Oryzias latipes: one gene and its partners. The protein of the gene in region 2 interacts with the protein of the main gene of each other region in a pairwise test. Links are inferred from orthologs where the notes say so. Each region holds a gene or a part of one and is shown on either strand. Other genes may lie near its edges. The genes, in order: sp4, foxp2, tbr1 and rpia.

Region 1 (6,727 bases), on a different chromosome or scaffold from region 2:
CGCTTGCTGGGCTGGCCCTCCTGATCCGAGGAACTCTGAACTGAGCCGAGCTGATCTGGACTCATGGATGAACCTGAAGCCATGTTGCCGACAGTGACTGTCACAGGAGAGGACTGAACTTTGACCCCATCCTGACCCTGTGTTTGACCTAGAGGTGAATTTGAAAAGTGTGTCAACCTTTATGTGACATGCAGAAGAAAAAAAATACACTAAAAACTGCAAGAGGAGAAAATTCTAAATGTCTGAGCAGGAGGGATGTTTCTGATATTTTGCTTTAAGTGGTTAATCTGGGAACCGGCCCCAAAATTGATTCAAAAGTCCTATAAAAAACGTCAATCACTTCTGAAAAAAGTGTCTCATAGTCACACTGTTACACTTATTGTGTACTTACCCTGCAGACCGGTGATGGTGAGAGGAACCCCCTGCACCTGAACCCCAGCAGTGCCCAGTCCTGCGATGCTGACCGTTTGTACCCCTGAGCCTGGGTTGATCTGAGCTGCACTCAAAGTCAAGGGAGTGCCGCTCAGGGAGACCAACCCCCCACCCCCCACCGTCGCACCGCCTGCAACCGGGGCCAGGGTCAGCTGCTGCGGCACAGCCGCCCCGAGACCGCCCTGCAGCGACACTCCTCCAGGAAGTTGCAACGTCTGCCAGGTGATTTGCCCAGAAGGTGACAGAGTAGGAGTGCGAATGAGAACCTGGGCTGGGTTCTGGATGGCCTGGATGGGCTGCAGAGTTTGTCCTGGCGCCAACTGAAGGGTCTGAATCTGCTGAGGCTGCTGCTGGTTCTGTGGCTGACCCTGACTCTGGGCTTGGGGTTGCAACTGGATCTGCTGGACCAGCTGATGCCCAACCTGACCCACGATCACCTGCTGGATGGTTCCGACGGCGTCAGTCTGATTCTGCAGCCCGTTGGCTTGGTTTTGGTTCTGAGAATCTGCCTCGCTGCTCTGTACCTGAGCGTCAGCTGATCCTGTAGAAACCACTTGAGCCGCGTCTGACACGCCGTCGCCCTCAGCTGCCGCTGCTGTGGATCCAGTTGCAGCTGGAGCAGCTCCAGAAACAGCTGTTGTCACCAGCTGGTTGCCATTAGCAACAGAAAATGTGCCATCCGCTGATTGGATGAGCTGAACGGCTCCGCCCGCTCCAACGTTATTGATTACAGGTAAAGCCAGGGTCATGCCACCTAGGTTTATGGGTACTGTGGTCATGACAGGGGGCTGAGAGCCCTGTAGAGTCTGCAGCTGAAGTGGAAAGGACTGTGCTGGACGGATCTGCAGAGGGACGGTCTGATTGGTTGTGCTTGGGAGGATAGTCTGCTGGTTGGCCGGCTGGAGGATAGCCTGAGTCTGGCCAGAGTTGGGGTTCTGAATTAGCTGAACCTGCTCAGGCAGAGCTCCAATGGAAGCAGGCTGGGGGCTAATGTGTACTTGCTGTCCATCTGCAGTTTGCAGGTGGGGGATGACCTGATATTGGACACCGCCAGCAGCATTAGAGAGGTTTTGAACCTGGATGATCTGGTATTGCTGCTGCTGTGGCTGACCCGCGGTCACACTGTTGCTCCCACCTGCTGCTTTTAGCTGTGAAAACAGAAAACGATCAGATTACTGAAAAGTGCAAACATACCCCCTGATGCTAAAAAAAAACCATTCACCTTCCGTCCAACAGGTGAGCTGTCGTTGGCCACAGTGGTGGCCACCGATACCGCGACGGGCTGACTGGCGTTCTCCTTGGCCATGGCAGGCGCTGCTGTAATGATCTGCCAACCGTTCCCCGTGAACTGAGCTGGGATCAGTTCCAGCTGCTGGGGCATCAGAGCCTGACCCCCAGCTGCGTCCACCACTATCTGACCCTGGAGCTGACCGGCCTGCAACTGGATTTGACCCGCCTGAACCTGGATCTGTGGGGCACCCGCCTGGGCCTGGGACCCCTCTGTTCCCCCCTGCCCTCCGATCTTACTGCAGGTGGCCGCCAGCAGAGCCAAGGGCGAGGGCTGAGAGGAATCCTGGGTGAAAAACGATGAGGAGGTAAAGCGGTCATCCACGAGTGACAGAGAGTTGTTGAGCACACAAAGAACATCATGTGCTTAATAGGAGCGACACCGGATTGTTCAATATGAACCAAAATCGACTGTGAGTGGTGTCAGCAATCACAAATTATTATATAAATCCAATCGTTGTTCAAGTGAATTGTTACACCCCTAGTGCATATAAAAACACAAGGATTGCTGGGTTACACAGGCAACAATTTAAAAAATGAGGGGAAAAAACGAGAAAGCAAGGGAAAGAACTCTGAAAAAAAAAATGCTACCAGACATAGAACTGTCAGTGGAAGTGGGCGGTATTACAGGAAGCTAGTGGGAGGGCGTGTGAGAACCACATTTCTCTTTTCTCAGAACGCTTGAAGAAAATGCAACCTCCTCTCTTGCCTTTAGAAAAAACTAGGTCGCAGCAGTTTTTTTTTTTTTCTTCAATCCTGCTTAATAGGAAACAGCCTCAAATTTGTTTAAGAAAAAAAAATGTCGTTTGCAAAAGGTGAGAGTATGCTTCTGGTGAACCATCAATGACAAAAAGTAGATAATGGTATGACGGAAAAACGATCTGCATGCATGCAAAACCTGAAGATCCTGTGCTGCAAAGACATCAAAAGTATCGCTACTAAAGGATTCTGTTCATAATTGAAAATGTTTATTTAAAAAAACTACAACAGCTGGATCATGACAACCATGTAAGCGTCTATTCATGAGGGTTGGCTCTCAGCAGGGCTCTACAGAAGCAGGAAGTGAAATTCACTGGAGAAACGCCCCTAGAGGTGTCTGGCTGGCCTGCTGTGAGGGAGGAGGGGGGAACTTTTTTTTTTTTTTGGGCCAAGAGACAAAAATCAAACTAGTGAAGTGTATTAAACTGCACGACTTTACCTGTGAAGCAGAACTTTTCCCTCTTTTAGATGCTTTCCCTCCTTCAGTTCCAGATGATTCCTTCTTCGAGTCTGTTAAAAGAGAGACTTTTACTTTTAATACATTGGTAGCACGAGACAGGCAATAAAAATGCAATCTTGTGCATGAATTAGATATAGCATAACAAAGGTAATCAACAAAGACAAGAGGGAAAAGACAGTAACCTCATCATCAATACCAAAGGGGCATGGAGGCTCATTTCTGTTAGACGGATACACAGAGGGGTGGAGACGGAAAGGGGGGAGGGTACCTACCACTCATAACGCATTAATATACCGAGAGGAAGAGGGTGTAGTTCACGGTGGAAGGCCGGCCGGGTAAAGAGGCGGAGGACGCCTATATGTTCGGCTCTGAGCCGTGGCGGATCTCCTCGTTTGACGAAACCACCCACCGGCCAGGAAGGGCGGTGCCAAGCGCGAGCACAATCAAGCAGTCCCAAATAACGGAAACAACGGAGAGCCCCGCGTGACCGTCCTCGCGCCTCAAAGCTCCTCGCGGCGCAGTCGTGCGTCTCTGTTAGCGGATAGAGAGTCCATACGCGAGCAAATTGATGCCTGTCAGATCGATATCCACAGAGAAGTTGGCACTGTGTGACCGTAGAGGCCCACCCACTTCCATTTAAGCATCAGGACAACACCCTCCTCGCTGCTCCTGCCTGTCACCGCTGGTTTTCTCCCACACGACGCGGGGACGCCTCGTCGCCGGCCGCCGTGCACCGAACACAAATGGTCACCGGTTTTTGTATTTTATCAGCGTGTTCCCTTTTTTCACGGACAATTGTTGTTTTTTTAAGAGGGAGATACGAGCAGATAGCTGTGGCTTTTGTGGGCGGATACGCTCCTCCCACATATTCAGATTGGATGACGGGACTCGGCGTGCGAGGGTCGAGATGGGAGTTGTATTTTGGTGAAGCCTCGCCTTCTCGAATAAGCTAGAGCCATTTTAACTACATTTCCCATAATGCTTCAGCAGGCCTGTCTGAGAGTTGAAGCGGTAGTCATGTTGGTGTGAGAGCGACAGAAGCGGGCGGTGACTTCTGTTTTATGGGGGTTGGGCGACCGGGAAAGGGAGGTGCGCTGCGTCTGGGTCAAGTTCAATTTGGGCTCTAAAAGAGACTAATCAGCGGAATGGAAGTGTTCTTTTATTAAAAAAACAATTAAGCTAATTGATTTTTTCAATTTATTTTAGATTTTAATGAATGTTATCCACAGCTATAAAACAACCCAACAATAATACAAGAAGGAACTACGTTGTTTCTTGTGTCAACTAGTTTTCAAAAATGAATTTTCCTTTTCTTTTTTCACACGTATGTATGTATGTATGTATGTATGTATGTATGTATGTATGTATGTATGTATGTATGTATGTATGTATGTATGTATGTATGTATGTATGTATGTATGTATGTATGTATGTATGTATGTATGTATGTATGTATGTGTGTATGTGTGTATATATATATATGTGCATATATATATATATATATATGTGCACAGGTTGGTGTGTCGTGACTTGCAGTCTTGGGCGACTGTTCTGTCGACCAGGAGTTGGTGTTTGGCTCCTCTGGAGTCTCTACCAATGCTCTTCTGTGTGTTACTCATGAATTGATCCATGTGCCTGTTTATCTTGGTTGCAATGATGCCTGACATGAGCTTCCATGTTGTGGACAGACAGGTTATTGGCCGGTAGTTGGATGGGATTGCGCCCTTTGAGGGATCCTTCTGGATCAGGATCCTCTACATGGATGACATCAAGCTATATGCTAAGAGCGAGCGTGACATTGATTCCCTGATCCACACCACCAGGATCTACAGTACTGACATTGGGATGTCATTCGGGCTCGAGAAATGCAGCCGGATGGTGACAAAAAGAGGCAAGGTAGTCCACACAGGAGGGGTCTCACTCCCAGAAGGAACAATAACAGACATCGAGGACAGTTACAAGTACCTTGGAATTCCCCAGGCAAATGGCAACCTGGAGCAGGCAACAAGGAAAGCTGCAACAGCTAAATACCTCCAACGAGTAAGGCAAGTCCTGAGAAGCCCGCTCAATGGCAAAAATAAGACCCGGGCAATAAACAGCTACGCACTGCCAGTTATCAGATACCCTGCAGGAATAATAAGATGGCCAAAGGAAGAGATACAGACCACGGATGTTAAAACACGAAAGCTCCTCACCATGCATGGAGGGCTCCATCCCAAATCCAGCACCCTGAGACTGTATGCTAGCCGCAAGGAAGGAGGCCGAGGACTAGTGAGTGTAGAAGCCACTATCCAGGATGAAACATCCAAGATGCATGAGTACATCAAGCTCAAGGCCCCAACTGACAGTGTGCTCAGTGAATGTCTCAGGCAATGGAGAGCAGAGGACACAGTGCTGGAGGACAGATCATCATGGGAGGACAAACCCCTGCATGGGATGTACCACCGGACCATAACTGAAGTGGCTGATATCAAGAAGTCCTACCAATGGCTAGAAAGGGCTGGCCTACAGGACAGCACTGAAGCACTCATCCTGGCAGCTCAGGAACAAGCCCTGAGCACCAGAGCGATAGAGGCTCAGATCTACCACACCAGACAAGACCCAAGATGTAGGCTGTGCAAAGAGGCCCCTGAAACAATCCAGCACATAACTGCAGGATGTAAGATGCTGGCAGGTAAAGCATACATGGAGCGCCACAATCAAGTGGCTGGAATAATATACAGGAACATGTGTGCAGAATATGAACTGGAAACCCCAAGGTCAAAATGGGAAACACCTCCGAAGGTGGTAGAGAATGAGAAGGCAAAGATCCTGTGGGACTTGCAGATCCAGACTGATAGGATGGTAATGGCAAACCAACCAGACATTGTTGTGGTGGATAAAGAACAGAGGAAAGCCGTTGTGGTGGATGTGGCAGTGCCAAGCGATGGAAACATCAGGAAGAAGGAACATGAGAAACTGGAGAAATACCAGGGACTCAGAGAAGAACTGGAGAAAGCATGGAAAGTGAAGGTGACAGTGGTGCCTGTGGTAATTGGAGCACTCGGGGCAGTAACCCCCAAGCTGGAGGAGTGGCTACAACAGATACCTGGAAAGACCTCAGACCTCTCAGTCCAGAAGAGCGCAGTGCTAGGAACAGCTAAGATACTGCGCAGGACCCTCAAGCTCCCAGGCCTCTGGTAGAGGACCCGAGCTTGGAGGAAAAACCACCCACGGAGGGTGAGAGGGGCGTTTTTTTTTTTTATAAAATAACATAAACAAATCTTTGAGAATACAGGCAAAGCTTTAGGAGAATATGGTGGAAAAATGATGTGGGGAAAAAATGTCAAAACATTTTATGAAAACAATGATCATCGTTAGTAATCTTCATAGGAACACGACCATTAGGGATATTTGAATAACATCCACAATCCACATCCGCTTTTCCATTTTGTATGGGGTTTTTGCAGATAATGTTCTTTCACAAATTTATTTTCAGCTGAATATACCATACAAATGTGAAAACCTTGATTGAAACACAATATTCTTCCATACATACAAATTCTTCAGTTTTAAAAGGTTGAAAACCCCTTTTTTTTTAAGAGTGAACTAGCAAAAATACCTGAGAGATTTACTCATTTAACAATAAAAAGATAATCTACTGGAAAACAGTTTTTCACCATGCCTGCTAGTTCCTCTTCAGGGTGATGCTATCCGCTTTCGCTCAAAAGTGGGATCCAGCCTGCATGTTTTGCCTGTCCGTTGCAAGGCCACACAGATATATAACCACAAGTTCACACCTATGGGCAA
Region 2 (6,081 bases):
AACGTAGCAAAGCTGGTTCCCTTCAAGTCAAAGTCAGATGATGCACTTTGATCACGAAAATGGTTAACGAGTTATGGTATGTAAAACAAAAGTGTGTTATTTGGGTGTGGCCAGTGTTAAAGGGTAAATTGGTTGAAGAGCAAAAAACCGGAGGAGACAACAGAAGAGGAGCACCATGTACTATTTTTATACTACAGGGATTCTCAACTTTGACCGTAACTTGGAGTACGATTATTTTGTAAACGGGGGAGGTGCTGAACAGGTGCGTCTGTGTGGAGGCCAACATCTGTGAGTCAGTGACTGTATATGAGGACTGGACTGATTGACACTGACATCACCCATAGAAAATGACTCACTTCACTTTTGCCAATCAGGAGTGAGCTTGTTGGAAAAATCTGACAATCGACTGTTGTATGTGAGACAACAACAACAACTATGATTGCAGCATCTGATTGGTCAGTTTATAACTTGAATGAGTTGCAGAAAAAAATATGATGAAAGAAATCTATGAAAAGGTAAGAAGATAAGATTTGCTGACAAATAGAATGACTTAAGAACAGCTGTTTATTTTTTCCATAGAAGTCTATGGGACCTTGGTGTCTTGGAACCAAGTAGGTACTTCCTTTTTGGAACGAAAGGAGGGAGGAGTCACTCACTCCAGTTCTCATATACAGTCAATGAGTGCAGCTAAAGACTTTTTTGAGGGGATTTGTACCTTTTTATTCTATCCAGACGCTTAGAATATTTGCTATAAATCATCACAGCTACTTCATCTTAATTGTTGCGATTTAGAATAAAAAAAACAACATTTACATTCGAAATAATCTTTTTTGTGTAGTTTTGTGAACTATAATGAGAAAATCTGTGGGGTTGTACTAAAAAAAACAAGGTCAAGCATTGCCACTAAAAAATGTTTTAAAGGTGAATTATTTAAGTGAAAAAAAATGATGAAAAAGGCCCCAGACGTCTGAAGGTTCAATTACTTCCCATTGGAGCAGAGAAACAGTCAAATGACTTAAACTTAAAACCTAAACACCCTAAGATTGTGGGTTAAATGTCATTTCTAGAAACACTAAGATGCTGCTTTTAGGTTTTGACGTGAATTTGTCATGGTTTTCTGGTGGCGAGGACTCACATGTGCGCAGAGGGAGAGTATCCGGGGCTGCCGTGTCCGTTGGTGTCCAGGTGGTCCAGGGTGCCGTTGAGCTCCTCGTGGCCGGTCTGCAACAAGCCGGGGGAGCTCCCGCTCAGCGTGCCTGGGGGGCTGCCGCCAAGCAAGCCAGGCGGACTTCCGCCCAACATTCCCGGTGGGCTCCCACCTAACATCCCGGGCGGACTCCCGCCGGTGAGCACGGATGGATCTCCGCCCAGAAGGCCATGGCAGCTGCCTCCCATCGGGCCGGCGGCGCTGCTCATGAGGCCCGGGTTGCCCAGCAAGGGCAGGGAAGTCTCGGCCAGTGCCGCCTGCGGCAAGAGAAGAGGGAATGTTGGGAATTAGAGGCACAGAAGTGATGAAAAGCTGAGTTTAAAAACAGGGAAACTGTAGCCCTGGGAGGAAGATGGGGTATTTGGTGACCCGGAGGCAGAAAAGTGGAGCTGCAGGAACACAGTAGTTCCTACAATCCATCCTCCTCTGGTTCTTAAGTGTCACCTTGTGGGCTGTTGTTGGTGGGCCCTCCCCCCTGTGTGAGCTGCAGCCACGTTTTCAAGAAAATGAAGTCACCCAAGGAAAAAAAACTTTGCTTCAAAATAATCAAACTCCTGACACTTTCGCCTGCTGCGCATTAAACTTATATACAGTGATTAAATTTTGAACGTTTTTTGCCATGAGCACCTCGCTGGCGCACACTGTGAAGCCAAATCATTTATGACAGCTCAGATAAATATTAATGCGCGCGCCCTCGCATTTGCACACTCCGCTATCAATCTAGGGTGACTGGGAGAGAAGCGGAGAGCTGCTGCCCGCTTCCACCACTGGGTGGCCTTCTGAGCCCGAGACTGGACTGGAGGACGTAGGAGGGGGTGGGGGGTGGAGGAGCTCACCTGTAAGCTGGCATTCAGTGCATTTCCATAACCGAGACTGGATGGCAGGTTCTTGACCAGAGACGGACTTCTAAAAAAAACAACAAAAAAAGCAAAGGAAACGAATAAAAATCCATAAATATACTTCTAAAATCTCTATTTATCTAAAAAATCAATAAATTAAAAAGCAAGTTTTTATTAATAAAATATAATTAACATATTTTCTCCACTATAAGGAGCGTGGGATTGAGCCGCATCGTCAATGAAAAGCCTAATCTTGAACTTATGCCATATATCAAAATATAAAACACATTAAGTGAGACAAAATAGACAGACAAAAGTGCGTTCACTGTTTCTACAGAACTTGTCTGTAACACGCTATATGTTAGCCACGTTAGCGTGTTTACAATGCCTGTAGTTCCTAGCCTTGTTAGCAAGCAGGGTAACAAAATTGATGCAAATAAAATAAACATTGTTTTGACAAAGCTAACTCCCAACCATGTTAGTGGCATGAAAAAAAAAAAAAAAAAACAGTTCGACATTGCTAGCCGTTAACCATGTTAGCATGTTTACAATGACACCTAACCTTGTTTGTAACACGTAAAAAACAGACTGATACCGCTAAAATAAACAATGTGACTACTTTCATTCCCGACATTGTTAGTAACATATAAAAAAAACAGTTTGAAACCGCTACACGTTAGCTGGGTTAGCATATTAACAATACCACCCAAACTTGCTAGCAACAACAACAAAAACAGATTGTACCTCTCAAAACCGCGTCGACATCACAACCAGCAGAACTTGTCCATTTATAAGGCGCGGTCATTTTTAACAAAAAAATTAAAGGCTTTTAAGTGTGTCTTATAGTGCGGAAACTACGGTTAAAATCAGAGGCTAAGCATCATCCAAAAAACTCTGCTGTGTTTCTATGGCAACCAAAGTCGTACCCTGTGATCTTCTGTGACCTGCGCTTCTGGTACTCCACCTCATCCACCGTCCACACCGCCCCCTTCACATTCTCCACGCGCACAAAGCACTTGTGCAGGCTGAGGTTGTGGCGAACTGCATTCTGTAAGAACGAACAAACAAACAAACAAACAAACAAAAACAGGGAAACAGGTCAAACGAGGCTGTCATTTGGTGGTGGTGGTGGTGGTGGTGGTGGGGGGGGCATCAGGAAATTGATTTTTGCTGTACTTTCTGAAGAAATTCTTCAAATTCACACACCGTTGACTTAATTAGTAAAAATTGAGTGAGAGCGAATGCTCTTACAAGTCCTGCGCACAGTACATATCAATCAGAGTAAGTAGGCTAAAAGGAGGTAATCAGCATAGCGAATGGCTTATGGTGGTGATAGAAGTGGTAATGCCGGCCTTGATAATGGTGATGTCAGTAACCCTTCCCGCTCCAGAAAAGCGCCATTCCTAATGGACACATTTCTTAAAAAATGACAGAAATGGAAGAGAAGAAAAAAAAAATCCCAACTGTCGCCGTGGCGAGGAGTCAGAAAGGGATGGTGGGAATTAAGCCGAACTGCATCTGACGCGCACATGTCCAAACATCCTCTGTGCGGCGCCGCATCTGCTGTAGAAACAAGCGCCTAACATGACACCCTTTGAGATTTATGAAATGTCATCCGCCAGTGATAAACAGATTTTAATAATTAGCAGGAAATGCAACTATGAAGCTGAATGACTGAATGAATCTACAAATATTAGCGGTTATTATCACTGCCTCTCGTGTTTATCATTTCTTTCTTAGGTTTGTGCAGCTCTTTCTTTAAGATTCATGGAGGAGGGAAAAAAAAACTCATAAGGAGATCTTGCATCTGACCTGAAAATCCCCAGATTTGATTGATCTTAATGCCCATGGCTCTGAATATGATAATTTTAATATTAATGAGCAAATGAGCAGTTTTATTATGCATGCTATATAGTTAGAACTAATAAGCTTCTGGGTGAGAGGAGGAAAAAAAAGGGGGAGAGAAAAAAAAAGTGGGTTTGGGCATGGGGAGAGGGGGGGGGGGTCTCTTTTGAGCTGATGAGACCAAGCTGAGATATTAAACTACCTTTCATATTTTTTACACTTTATATCTGCTGGTCACATGACGAGTGCTTAGCTGATCATATTGTGGATGTAAACACATCAGCTGGAAGACAAAGGGTCGCTGTGACCCAATGAGCCCCCACCTCCTGCAAACGGCCGGTAAAAGAGCACCCATCTCCCCTGAATTCGGCGGTGGCGCGGGCCCTGCGCTTATTTGCATCCCAAATCCAAATTAATTCACTTCGCCAAATCTAGCGCCGCGACGTGTCTTGCATGCTAATGAACGGCGGCGCTTTTTTTCTCTCTCCCCTACAGTCATCTGTGACATCACAAAGGCTAAAAGTGGCAAACAGGGGGGGGGGGGCACAGATCAATCACCAAGGTCTCATGACCAAAACACGTGCTTGTGTTTATTTTTTAAGAGGCATCTCTGTGCCCTGTAACAGGAACAATAAAGTTATAAACACCTATTTGGCCCCCCTATCACCTCCTCTTGCTCCTGCTTGGATGTGAGCGTGGAAGTTGTGCCCTTAGAGCTGGTTAACAGCCATCTTGGCTACCGACTAACCAATGATCTGTCAGACAAAGCTGGATCTGGGGAGAGGGAGGGGTGGCGGCTGCCGGATCTCTTAACAAAAGCTGCTGATGATGGAGGAGCTGCTGTATAATTAGCGCGTCACGGCTCCCTCCTCTGCACGCTAACGCGCCGCTATTAATTGCAGCAAATTAGAAAACGATATGTGAAGGAGGGAAGGGGGGGGGTGGTCATCCAGCTGTCATTTCTAAACAAAAAAAAGGTGGAAAAACAAACAAAAAAATAATAATAATTTGGGTTCTGAAGTGGAGGAAAAGCTCGGTGACACCCACCTTCCAAGTGGCGGCGTTGCGTCTGAAGTAAGCGAAGGTGCGCGTGAACCAGCTGTAGATCTCGTTGAGCGTTAGCTGCATGTCAGCAGAGTCCATGATTGCCTGTGAGGAGAAAGGACATCCAATGAGGGTTTCGCTAAACCAGAGCGCCACGCCGCCGCCGCCGCACACACGCCGACAGCCTCACAGGGCTGCCGTGATTCATGCTGCAATTAATTCAAATCTAATCAGGCAAAGTTAATTTATTTCCCACTCACCTGTCTTATGAGGGTTGCATAAGTGAACGGCGGCCTGACATCTGCATTCTTATAAAACTCGTAGTTTGGGGCGATCTCTGGAAAAATAAATACTGTGTCACCACCTGAAATAATTGGTAAAGTTGAGTCCTTTAGGTTGTGAATTTCCTCCAGGTTTCATCAAATTAAAACACAGATGGAAAAAAATAAAAAGGGGGGGGGGGCATTGGAGAAGAGACAACGAATCAGCAGTTTTTTTTTTTTTACATCTTCAAAATCCATTTTTAATTAATCTCTCTCTGGAGACGTTCTAAACATCCACAAAAACCACCAGATCTGTGTAGTTAGCTGGATGGAAGCTGAATAATTTATGCTTTGCGCTAAACATACGGAGTAAATAAACATTAAAGACAGACTAAATGCTAAATTTAACACACAACATGGAATAAACAGATAACTTTATTAAGATTCATGCAACATTCATGCAGCGAGGGGCTTCCTGTCTGTTTGCATAACGAGGGATTCCCACGACTTTAATGATGCTTTAGCGTTTTTTTTTAACGTGTCATGCGTTGTTTGTTTGTTTGTTTTTCTTAGCTCACCTGACGATAGCTGCATGGAGTATTTGTCCGAGTGGCGTCGCCGCATGGCCCCCATGCTGGGGACGTTTGCCCCGCCCAGCACCGACGGCACCTGGGGCATGGCGGCCATGGGGGTGATGGGGGCGGTGGGCGTGGTGGGGGTCTGAGGTAAGTTTGGGGGAGACGCCGAAGGCAGGTTCTTGGACATGGTGACGCTGGAGACCAGGTTGAGCTGGAGAAGAAAAAAAAAAAAAGAAGCTAAATTTAGCAGAAAAGAAGGATCAGAGGGATGGGGTGAATGTAATGGGGGGTGTTTGGTTTTCCTG
Region 3 (4,735 bases), on a different chromosome or scaffold from region 2:
ATAACCCATCTGAGCTGGGGGGTGTCCGTGTCACTGTGGTACAGGTTTTTGTCCTTGTCCTCCAGCGTTGGCCTCCTCCAAAATTTCAACTGTGGGTGAGCCTCCTCATGGACCCCCGACTCTCTTGAGTGTCCTCCTACGGGCAGAGGTGGGCGGCCCCCTCCCTGCTCTCTTCCTGACCTTCCGCTGGGTGGGAGGGTGGTTGCCTGGAGCATGGGGCGAATCTCCCTTAGGGGGCTCTAGCTCGTGCCTGGGGTTGGGGAGGGGGGATGCCTGGGACTCCCGGTGGTGAGCTGCTCGTCTGGGGCTCGGGGTTTTGTTATTTTAAGATATAACTTTCCTCTAGAGTATACAAGCATCCTGAACAATAATTTTTTTTATGCATGTTTCATGCATGTGATTGTTTTCGAATCCCTCACACGTTGTGATGTGCAGGATGAATGAGATGACTGGACCTCCCCGTATTTGATGCGCTGTTGTGCTCCTACAAAGCGGTTTTTGGCCTGACCCTTACAGCTCTCACAAATGTCAGATGGTAGAATTCAGGAGCTCTGATCTCAGCTGTTCAGAGACGTTTCATGCTGTTCTCACAGGTAAAACAAAATCACAAAAAAAGCTTTTAGTTTTGCTCCCCTCCATAATAAAATGAACTCAAACTGAAGCTTTATTTGGAGAAGTACTGGAGGCTTAGTAAAAGAGTCATCTGGCTGTAACACTTTCAACTGTCCATTTGTGCACTTTTATTTTCGGTCTTGACCTTGTTGGTTTCTGTGTTTTCAGTATTTTGGAACCTGTTTGGACGTTTTTACGTCTTTTGGAATGACTTTTTATGAAATAGTTGAAGTGTGCTGCTGAAAAGGGATTTGTGATGTCACCAAGGTTCTCTGTTTCTTTTTGTATTCAGATTTTAAATCTGCATTTTTTTCCAAGGCTTAACAAGAATTATTAAGATTTCAGTGACAGCATCTATGACTTAATGAAAAGTGTTACTTTTTTTGCATATCTACTACATGTTAAGTATATTGAAATGTATATACAGTTATAGAATTTATTTTGTCAAAATCTGAATATCGTTTATTGGCATTGTATGCACAACAAAAATAGTGCTCTCCAGGTGTTTAAAAATATAAGTCTAGGTTGAAAATAAAAATATTTTTAAACATAAAATTTAACTTAAAATAATCTAAGAATATGTAGGTTGAAAAAATACATCTATTGCATTTTTTTGTTGGTAGGTTGACAGAAACACCATAGAAACACATTTGTTTTTAAATACTTGATGAAAATTATTTGGTATATATTCACCAAGGGAATTTGAGATCAACAGGAGATTACATTTTTGATCATAAAGTATGTTATATGTTTTTGTATTAAAAAAACTATTTTCACCATATTTTTCTGTATTATACATGATGGGTTGTACTGCCTGTGTCTATTTTAATTGAGCTGCAGGCTGGACTTGCCTCAAAAGATACATAAGATTTTATTCACGAATTTTTTTTTAATTGTTTGTTTTTGTTTTTTACTTTTAAAATGTTTATTCTGCATCCAAGTGAACGTTTGGATGTTCCGCACGCGCACTGAATCTCGTGGCAGTTAGTGAAATGTCGCCATCTAGTGTACATTGCAGACGCTGCACTATACAATCCAAAGGTAACATCAATTAAAAATGAATCCGTCTCTGATCCCACCATTGATGAAAGCTGTCTGATTAAAGCTTACAGTTGTCGCCATCTGATGTTTGTATCTGGAAAGGCTTCATAATAATAATAAGGAGCATAAACCGCAGCGAGGCCTCTTAAAGGGTTTTTCTTCACTGACAGCTGCAGGGGTTTTGTTCACGTGGTGTGCGCGTGGAGCGCATCCAGCCAATTTGCATCCCTTGACATAGATCGTATGTGTTACTTTATTTTTATGTGAGAAAAAAATACACTTTTATGTATTTCGTGTTTTCATATTTCTTGAATAATAAAAAAACGATGAAATGTTAGTTACATTATGTAAATATAAATATGTGATATTGTTTATAATGAGTTGCTGTATTGTACTTAGCGCTAAATTTCAAGAATAAGTCTGCGCATGACAGGAAAATGTCAAAATAAAAGAATTTTTGCAATTTAGGTATATAAAGTTAAAGGAAAAAAATCTGTTTGATCCATTTAAATCCAGTAAAGCGTGCCCTGATGGGGAACACTGTTTATTAAGTTTCATCCACATCACAGCACATACAGAGATTTTCCACAACGTCATGTACAAGCAAATAAACTCAAATGAAGCAGAGACCCTGCATGTCTACAAACACTGACAAACTTCTTTAACCACATGAAGGAAGGAGATCGTCGCTTAAACTTCCTGCAGCTTCACCCGCAGCTTTGATAGAATTAAGAAATACATTTCCCCCAAAACTGACGTGTCAGTTTCTGCTACACAAAAAAACCATTTCATGTACAGATTCCTAAACATTTCAGATACTAACAGGCTACTTCAAACAGGAGAACAGTTGGCTCTGTCAGACACCATAGGGGATCATATTTGTTTCTTATTTTGTGGACATCCAGTCACTATCACAAATGCCAAATATTATTATTTATATACATTATATCCATAATTACAACAAATCTTAACAGTTTATGTCATAACCAAAAAATGTACACTTTGGATGTAATGATGGAACGGTCAGATAGATAGATAGATAGATAGATAGATAGATAGATAGATAGATAGATAGATAGATAGATAGATAGATAGATAGATAGATAGATAGATAGATAGATAGATAGATAGATAGATAGATAGATAGATAGATAGATAGATAGATAGATAGATAGATAGATAGATAGATAGATAGATAGATAGATAGATTCCTAACTATGAGAGTAGAAACTGTAATAACCGATGTCCTTTGTACAGTTTTTGTCACACTCCCTCGGTGCCAGCAGCTCAGACTTTAACGGGGACACAGTCTCTGAAACCGGCGTGGCAGTGGGGGAGATTCTCCTCCGTTTGGCCTGTTCAAAGATCCCAGAATCGCTGGAATCGATGGATTTGATGGAGGAGGGCGTCTCTATCCAGCTAGACTCAGATGTGATGTCTTTGGCTTTGCTCTCCTCTGCGCCACCGATCGGTGACCTCTCCGTGCTGATGGAGTCCCCCTCCTCCTGCAGGTAGCTGGTGCCTGAGCGGCCCCCGATGGTGTTCGCGGGCCAGCAGGAAAAGACCGAGCTGGCTTTGCTGTTGACGCCGCAGTAGTGCGGCGGCGTGCGTCCTCCCCAGCCAGACGGGTCTGCGTAATAGCCAAGAGGCCGGTTGGAGCAGCTCGCAGTCGGCAGGGGGAGAGCCTTCACTCCGGCCGCTGCGTAGGACAGCAAGGTGGCCGCGTTACCGGCGAAATCAGCGGCGTCGTATGCCGAGGCTGCAAAGTCCAGTCGGTTGTTGGCAGGGGTGACAAACCATCGCTGCGGGGGGGTGGCAACAGTGGGCTCCTCGGCTTGCTGAGGAGACAGCAAGCTGTTGCCGAGTGGAACGTTGCGCTCCGTGCCAGGAGCAGTCCCCACGCCAGGGTGAAAGCGAGATTTGGCATAAGTGCTGACAAATTGGTCCTGCAGGAAAGAGCTAGGCATGGCATATCTCGCACCCGGCACGATCTGTGAACGCGGAGAGTCACCCGGTGATGGAGTTAGGCGGTCAATGTCGCAGCCTGTGTAGACACTGAAAAGATGGAGGAGAAAACAGAAACGGTTCAGGCGCTGAATGTGGACGGTGGCGAGTTGATATAAAAAAATAAAGGCCTTATATTAAAAAAAATAAAAATAAAACAAAACAAAAAAATCAATCAGCTGTTTCTGAAGATTGGATTAGATTTAAAGTGGAGGCCGTTTAATAGACTTCCAGTTTTACGCAGATAAAAACTGGCTTTCTCAAAAAGAATCTCTAAAAATAAATGTGTTTTGTTGCATTTTTTATCTATGTTATAATTACACGGTAATTTCAGAATATTATTATGACGTTCGTTAATGTGCACATTACAGAGAAAGAACCATGCAACAGGCATTTTACGCATTTGTTCTTTATATTTATGGTGTAAAAAATGGTTAAACACTCCAACAAAAATAAAATATCAATGAACATATTTATATATATATGAAATTTCCTATTATTTAAGTTTCTGTTTTTATGTATCAATATGCAGGCTTATTAAAAGAAAGCAAAAAATGCAAATAATTAAATAAATCTTACGTGTCATAATTGTCCCGAAATCCTTTGGCAAAGGGATTGTGGTCGATTTTTAGTTGTGTGATCTGTGGAAGACAAAAGCATTAATTCAATTTAAAAATAATGTTAGGTGCTAATATATTTACTGCAACAACATTGCTGTAAAAAATAAAAAATGATAATGGTAATTCAAAAAATCTGACAACGATCAGTTTAATTTAAGTGGTGATAACTCAAACAATTTTACTTATTTGTATTTATTTGTATAGAGTTAAATCAGTGGCATGCAACAATTGGGGTTTAATTTTTAAGGAGATTTCTTATTTTGTTTTGTAAGCGTTTATTTTATATATTTATTTATATTTGCGTGCGCTTGAGGTGCGGCGTTGGACCCTCACATCGGTGTTCTGGTACGCTGTAACGGCGATGAACTGCGTCTCCGAGAAGGTGAAAGTCTGCACTCTTCCTGGCTGGCTGGTGTCTTCTGTCCCGTCCTCGTTTACTTCCACCACATGGAGCCTTG
Region 4 (6,748 bases), on a different chromosome or scaffold from region 2:
GTACCTAAACATAAAAACGAGTTTGAAAATGAAACACGCGGCAGGAAAGCACCTACAGGTGCAGCTGAACAGCTCCTGGAAAGCTGCTGTGATACGTGAAGAGCACGAGAAGAGCCAACAGGTGCAGATGTCAGCATCAACCACTCACAGCTTTACTGACAGCCATCCTCAGGTTGACTTCCCCTCCGAAGCGCCTGGCGATTACCCTGGAGATGGGAACCCACGCCATGGGGATCACCTCGATGGGAATTCCTTTCCTCCACTGCTGGCCCAGAGCCTCAGAGTCTTTCCTGGAAAAAAGCAGGGATTTCAAATCTGGACATCTTCCCACCTTTCAGCAGAACCAAACTCTGTTAGAAATACTTCTGCTCTCTTCTCAATACTTCTGCATGAAAATGATGCTCACCTGTAATCAGCAATCACAACAAAACTTTTTGCACAGCCGGCGACGATCTTCTCTTGCGTCAGACAACCGCTGTAGCACAGAGACGGCCAGTGAGTTGATGTTTGAATCCAGGGATGTGCTCTGCACTGAACTCACCCTCCACCTTTGATCAGCGTCAGGTCTGCGTCCACCTCATCCGCCCCGTCGATCGCCACGTCCAGCTGCACAGCAAAAGCAGAGCGCAGATCAGACTAAGGCTTCCTTCACTAAAGCAGAGGGCTTTCCCCACCAACCTCTGGGTGTCGGTCCAGATCCGACAGCGCCAGGCCGTGCTGCAGAATCAGCTGCCGGGCCTGCAGGAGGAAGACAACAGCGTTGGACGGGGTAGGCCGCATTGTAACCAATAAAGCGTTACAGCTATTTTTTAAACTTTATTAACAAATATTGCACATACAAAATACCAAACATTGATACTCCACGCTATGTGCAAAAGGCAAATGCCAAAAAGACACAATAACAGCTATATAAAACCTATTAAGCAAAGAATTACAATAAAGGCAAAGGAATCTGAAAAGAGACCATGTTTCAACTGTTCTAACAGCTTTTTGTTAGTGCAGGATTGAATACCATTTACATACAGAATCATTTTTTTCTGGAAAACATAAAAAACAGGTTTTGCTATTGGCATATTTACACTTGTGTATGAAATATTGAGCGTTACACGTATGTTCTGCAAGCATGACAGCTCACTTAGTCTGCAGAAAAAACATGTATGCTAACTTCAACGAGCAGAGATGAAGCCTGCAGCCAGCAGGGAGGAGCTTCTTCCAAGAGGCAGAAGAAAAAAAGAAGCTTGTTGTGTAATATTTATAAGCGCATGTAACGCGTAGAGCACCCCCCCACCCCCTGTAACTTCTGTTTGCGTCTCTGTAGCGCTTGGTTTCGGCTGATGGGGCAGTGGAACACGCGTCAGCTTTCAGCAGGATCCAGACAGACCTGCAGAATAAAGCTGCTGGACTCACTGCAGCATCAAAGCTTAAAAAAAAGGGTCGGTTTGAAGACGGCGCTGATGTTAAACCCTGATGCTAACATGCTACGATCATGCTATGCTAACGAGCTGTTCCGAGTGTCGCCAGACTGGGACCACAAACTGGTTTAAAGTGACACAATATTTACACAGAGCGGACTTTAAGACGGGGAGGATGAACTGTATTTTCTAAACACAATAACAGACGTGAATGAAACTTTATTAGCAACATCTAACATTACAGAGCCGCAGAATTAGGAAAAAGATACATTTTCTTTCAATCTGCTGCCCTTTAGTGAATCTGTCCATGTTTTATTTTTAAAGATGTGTTCATCCTATTTATAGATTTCTTTAAGGTCATTTTATTTTCTGACAGATTAGAAATCACTTTGAACAGTTGTTTCCATGTTGTGACGTCCTCTCTGTCTGCACTCCTCCTTGTTTTTAATTGACACCGATAGTTTTTCTGTGTAGTGTAACAATTTGTCCACACACAGCAAAATTGGTTTGAAGGTTGTAGCTGACAAAAGTGGGAGGACGACACATTTGTTTGAACACCTGAAACAAACTCTGTTCAGAGAGAAGCGTTTCTCTTCATCAGACGCTCCAGCTGTCTGCAGCTCCCAAAAATGGATCTGCAGACATTTCTACAGCTTTTGTGTTTAGCTGAACTTTGTGCTGGAGCCTACTTTTTAAAGGTGATGTTAAAATTAAGTAGTTTTTGTTGAATATATCCCATCATTTGTAATTTTTGTTAAAGAAATTAAAAGGACGGAGAAAAAAAAAAGTGTTATGGAGTGAAAAAAAGATTTTATTTTTTTGGCCACATGGCCCAGGTCTAATCTGTGTGTAGAAAAGTCATTTAAATAAACAACCAGAAAACACAGAAGTAGAAGTTAAATAAGAAGAAATAGATCTTTTTTTGGGGTGGAGTTATGAAGAAACAAGAAACTATTTTTTGTTCTTTTTATTTATATTTTACATTTGATGTTCAGAGTTTGTAATTAAATTTGTAATTTGTTTGGTTCAAACTGTTTTGTTTTGTTGCATTTCTGGCTGCGCTTTAATGTGAGACACGCATCAGGTTGCAGTGTTTTACATTTGTTTCTTCAGTAACCAGGTAAGTAAACTTAAACTGAAGTGTCACTGGGTAATTAAAAGGAGTCAGAGTAGGAGCAGCAGGTTTGAAGAGCCAGATTCAAACACTTCTACAGGAGAAGCTATCTTTAGTGAATTCTTTGCCCAAACCCACAAAGGGTGCAGCATCTGCAGATGATGATCAGCTGAGGTCAGCGTTGAAGGGTGAGAAACCATGAGTTCGTGTGGACATTGATTCTGTTTTGCAGTTTCCCCCCCAAAAAAAATCGAGCAGAAAGCAAAGCAGGACTTTGCACTGAAATGTTGCATTTAGCAAAGATCTGAGAGGTCTGTAGCAACACATGCAAAGAATGTGCTAACTGTCGTAGTGCAACGCGCCAGTTTCCTGATTTCACAAACACAAATGGTCCGAGTGGAGGAACTTGAGAAAATAAACTCGCAGCAAAAAGAAAAGCGATGAAAGCGGATCACAACAGCACATCCACTCACCTGGAAGGAGGTGGGAACACACACAATGTTGAGTTTTTCCTGCATCACTCTCTCCGCTGCAACAGAGACAAAACGGAGGCCACATAAACACTGGACCCATGAACGCCAAGTGGTCAGTTCTGCTCTTTGACTGCAGTCACAGCTGCTGGAATGGAACCATCACCAGCGGCTGCAAGCAGGCTCCTCCCACTGGACACAGACATGAACAGTTCAACGGCGCTCACCCAGTCGGTCCACGGCGTACACAATGGTTGATCCACTGCCCACTCCAACCACCTGGTTGTTCTACAGAAAACAAGGAGGCGTGGTGTCTGAATCCATTCAGCTCACAAGATCACAATCCAGTTTGATTTTTAATTTAAATCCCATTCATCAGGTTTCAGTATGATATTCATGTTTCAATAAATGGTAAAGTCACATGAACATTTTAAAAACAGAAAAGCTAGTGATTTACAACTGTAATAATGTCTTTCAGACACACATCAAGGCAACATTTAGGAGCAATGTTGGCTGGAAAAGACGCTTCAAGAAGCTGCAGAGAGTGAAATTTTTCATAAAAACACATTTTATCTATATATAAAAATCTATAATTAACATGAAAGTCCAAGCAAAACAAAAATAACATTGATACTGTTTTTATTGAAATTAAAATAGGTGTTTAGGTTCACCTTTCACCTGAGGGTCGCTTTTCTGGCCCACGGGGGCTCCCGTTCCCGGTCGGAGGAGCTGACCTCTGACCCCCCACACTTATGGCTAACAACACCGTTAATTCCAGCCTAGACTAACTTCTACACCGCTCATGCCCCTGTTTTCCTTTTCACCCTAAATGTTTCCTAGCTGCAGCACCATAGTGCGGTTCAAAGCGGGACAAGCCCGCGCAAAGCCGCGCTAAGTCGCTTTAAAGTATTTAGATAATGTTGTACTTGCTAACTTTGCCGCGCGCCGGAACTACTAGCTGAACGGCCGTGACGTCGTCTCAAACTCTCCTGCTGCAGGACTCGAACGGACGCGTTCGCTCAGAGGACAGCGACTAGGGTACCTGGACGTGGTTGTCCACGGCGGCGTAGGCGGCCAGCTTCTTCGCCTCCTCTGCCATGCCAGCATCAGACTCGCGGGAGCAGCGCACGTGCCGGTGACTGGAGAGCGCGAGGAGCTTCCGCGAGGGTGGAGCGCAGAGGAGTGGTACGAACCCTGGTAGCCTCATGACACCCCCCTCCCGCAAGCGCAAGAGAGCCTCCCCAAGACGACTACCCCTCGCTGCAGTGGGCAGTGTGCCTCGACGTGGGCGGGGCTAAACGCGTTGGGCTCCGCCCACAGAACGTGATTCCATTTCTTCTTCTTCGCTGCAGTCAGATTGTCCATGTGCAGCGACACAACACGGAACTGCAAGATGGAGGTACGCATCAACAAACAAACGGGCATTCATGACAATAAGACACATTTTCGCCTCACGGATGAGGCTGTTATTTGTATTTTTGCTTTTTTCTGTCGTAATATCCACGTAGTTCAGGTTTCACACGGAACTACAAGTTAGAATTGCGGCTCTACTCCTCGGGACTTTCGTAATCATCATGATGATGTTCAACTTTTTTGTGTCTTCCAATCAATGTAGGTGAAACTTTCCGGTTTTTTCCACCTGTATTTTTCCTCTCTTTACAGAGACACGTTACAGTCTTATTGGGCAATGAAAAACCAACGCCGAAAACCCTAAACGGTTCTTCCCACTGTCCGTTCTGCCGCTACAAGGGCGCAGAGCATGCTGTGAGACACCACATGGAAAACCATTCGTCCGTCAAACACAAAGGTACAGTCTGGGTTCTGAATGGAAACTGTCAGTCACAAGTCACAAGTCATGAAGTATGTTCTTCCCATCATTCCTCTTTTAGGATTCACAGTCATCAAGTGTGGTTTAGGTTGCCGGACTGCGTCACACTTTCACTGTTGCCATTGTCCGGCAACATTGGTCAACAGGTCACAGTTTTTCAAACATTTGGGAGCGCACCACGTAGGAAATCCTCCATGGCTGCTAGAGGTCAAACCAGAGCCCCCACCGCAGCTCCCACTGGCCCCACCACAACTCCCAGAGCCCTCATCGCAGCCCCCACTGGCCCCACCACAGCTCCCAGAGCCTTCATCGCAGCCCCCACTGGCCCCACCACAACTCCCAGAGCCCTCATCGCAGCCCCCACTGGCCCCACCACAACTCCCAGAGCCCTCATCGCAGCCCCCACTGGCCCCATCACAGCTCCCGCTGGCCCCACCGCAGATCCCACTGTCCCTATCACAGCTCCCAGACCCCTCCTCGCAGTCCCCGCTGGCCCCATCGCAGTCCCCGCTGGCCCCATCGCAGCTCCCAGAGCCCCCATCGCAGTCCCCACTGTCCCCACCTCAGCCCCCATTGCAGCAACCAGCACAGCTTCTATGGCAGCAAACCCCGGCCCCACCACATCCCTCAGAGCGCCCCCAGCAGCAAAAAAACCCAAAGGAAATGTGTCGGACGCAGACAATTCTTTGTCATCTCTGCGGTTTGAATTTAAAAAAAAAAAACTTCAAAACACACTGCAAGAGGAAGCACAAGCAGTATTTTGAGACAGTTTCCATGGAAAGATTTCTATCCAGCCAGTGTGTGGATGAAAAAAATGGCGTGTTTGCTGTTCAGGAATCCTTCTGTGGTTCAGCAAAGCCTGTGCATGTTGTGAAGAAATTCTGGGGGGCGAGTCCCGTCACTGTGTGTGAGGTGGACCAGTGCCGGCTCAACGGGGACTTTGCCCACACAAGTGGGATGCCGCCCTACGAATGCCACCACGTCAGATCTCTACTGTACTGCCCACGAGCCGACAACCAGCATGTCACTCTATCTGAGGAGGCATTGGAGACGATGGTAGAGCAGAAATGGTTTGGGGAAGAGCAGAAGGCCAGTCTGTTGCAATGTAAAAGGAAGGCAGATGCGGAGGAGGTGCCCCTTTCTGTGCAGCTGACTGTGGGCGGCCCACCATCCAAAATCCATATCTCTGTCTATGAGCCAGAAATCACATGTGATAGTCGTGTGGGCCGATTGATAGTTGCGTATGACAGAAAACAGAACAGCTGGCATTGTTCGTGCTCAATAGTAACACAGTCCTGCAACCATAAAGCCATTGCGAAGTGGCACCTCTTTGTCACAAATGGGGAGTTGTTTCAGAAAGCGTCGGTTACGGAAGCTGAGTCACCTGACCCGCCCCAGGACGCCGGAGAAGATTCAAGCCCCCGCACATTCAGTTGCCCTCCATATGACGAGTCCACTCTCAAAATGCTGAACTACCTTTTGAAGTACAAAAAGCTTCCAGGAGAACTCCCCAAGGCTCTCATTGAGCAGTCCAAAAATGGGAGAACACAGGACAGCTTTCCGAAATGCCTAATCCCAGCAGAAACGACATGTGTGGAGTGTGAGTACCCACTTGGTGGGCAACAAATAATAACCTCCGAAGCCAGGATCCTGACCAGCACAGGTGTGGTTGAAGGTTAGTACAGGTCCAACCATCACCATCTTGGGTGTGTTTCTTGAGTCACACAAATGATTATGTAATCAATTTGGAATGACATATAACCAACAACAATGGTTTATTGTTGTTTTTAGGCATATCAACATACAGGAAGTCATGCCTCAAGTGTGGCATGATATATCGATACCAGGAGTGGGAGGACGGCGTCCACAATTTTGACGACCATCTCATCTTGTCTCTGCACCTGTGCCTCGTGATAAGAAATGC

What was found.
Region 1: the proteins of foxp2 (region 2) and sp4 interact in a two-hybrid assay, tested with the Homo sapiens proteins (2 studies listed by BioGRID). The link is inferred for Oryzias latipes from reciprocal best matches to the Homo sapiens genes FOXP2 and SP4.
Region 3: the proteins of foxp2 (region 2) and tbr1 interact in a two-hybrid assay, tested with the Homo sapiens proteins (2 studies listed by BioGRID and IntAct, with this or other methods). The link is inferred for Oryzias latipes from reciprocal best matches to the Homo sapiens genes FOXP2 and TBR1.
Region 4: the proteins of foxp2 (region 2) and rpia interact in a two-hybrid assay, tested with the Homo sapiens proteins (2 studies listed by BioGRID). The link is inferred for Oryzias latipes from reciprocal best matches to the Homo sapiens genes FOXP2 and RPIA.

Annotation. Positions count from the first base shown.
Region 1 is NC_019869.2:9,694,918-9,701,644, forward strand, and holds the start of sp4 (transcription factor Sp4), read right to left. Parts: upstream 4,050-6,727; 5' UTR 3,218-4,049; coding exon 3,211-3,217; intron 2,989-3,210; coding exon 2,918-2,988; intron 2,006-2,917; coding exon 1,655-2,005; intron 1,581-1,654; coding exon 392-1,580; intron 149-391; coding exon 1-148. UniProt on the Homo sapiens protein: Binds to GT and GC boxes promoters elements. Probable transcriptional activator.
Region 2 is NC_019881.2:5,140,736-5,146,816, forward strand, and holds part of foxp2 (forkhead box protein P2), read right to left. Parts: intron 5,988-6,081; coding exon 5,777-5,987; intron 5,300-5,776; coding exon 5,196-5,299; intron 5,041-5,195; coding exon 4,939-5,040; intron 3,095-4,938; coding exon 2,973-3,094; intron 2,114-2,972; coding exon 2,044-2,113; intron 1,465-2,043; coding exon 1,136-1,464; intron 1-1,135. UniProt on the Homo sapiens protein: Transcriptional repressor that may play a role in the specification and differentiation of lung epithelium. May also play a role in developing neural, gastrointestinal and cardiovascular tissues.
Region 3 is NC_019879.2:21,024,821-21,029,555, reverse strand, and holds the end of tbr1 (T-box brain protein 1), read right to left. Parts: coding exon 4,611-4,735; intron 4,299-4,610; coding exon 4,237-4,298; intron 3,709-4,236; coding exon 2,865-3,708; 3' UTR 2,165-2,864; downstream 1-2,164. UniProt on the Homo sapiens protein: Transcriptional repressor involved in multiple aspects of cortical development, including neuronal migration, laminar and areal identity, and axonal projection.
Region 4 is NC_019880.2:22,088,467-22,095,214, forward strand, and holds the start of rpia (ribose-5-phosphate isomerase), read right to left. Parts: upstream 4,253-6,748; 5' UTR 4,204-4,252; coding exon 4,039-4,203; intron 3,285-4,038; coding exon 3,224-3,284; intron 3,056-3,223; coding exon 3,000-3,055; intron 739-2,999; coding exon 679-738; intron 607-678; coding exon 542-606; intron 476-541; coding exon 407-475; intron 291-406; coding exon 149-290; intron 1-148. Other genes in the region: uncharacterized protein LOC101171122, read left to right, coding at 4,360-4,395, 4,659-4,803, 4,886-6,499, 6,616-6,748. UniProt on the Homo sapiens protein: Catalyzes the reversible conversion of ribose-5-phosphate to ribulose 5-phosphate and participates in the first step of the non-oxidative branch of the pentose phosphate pathway.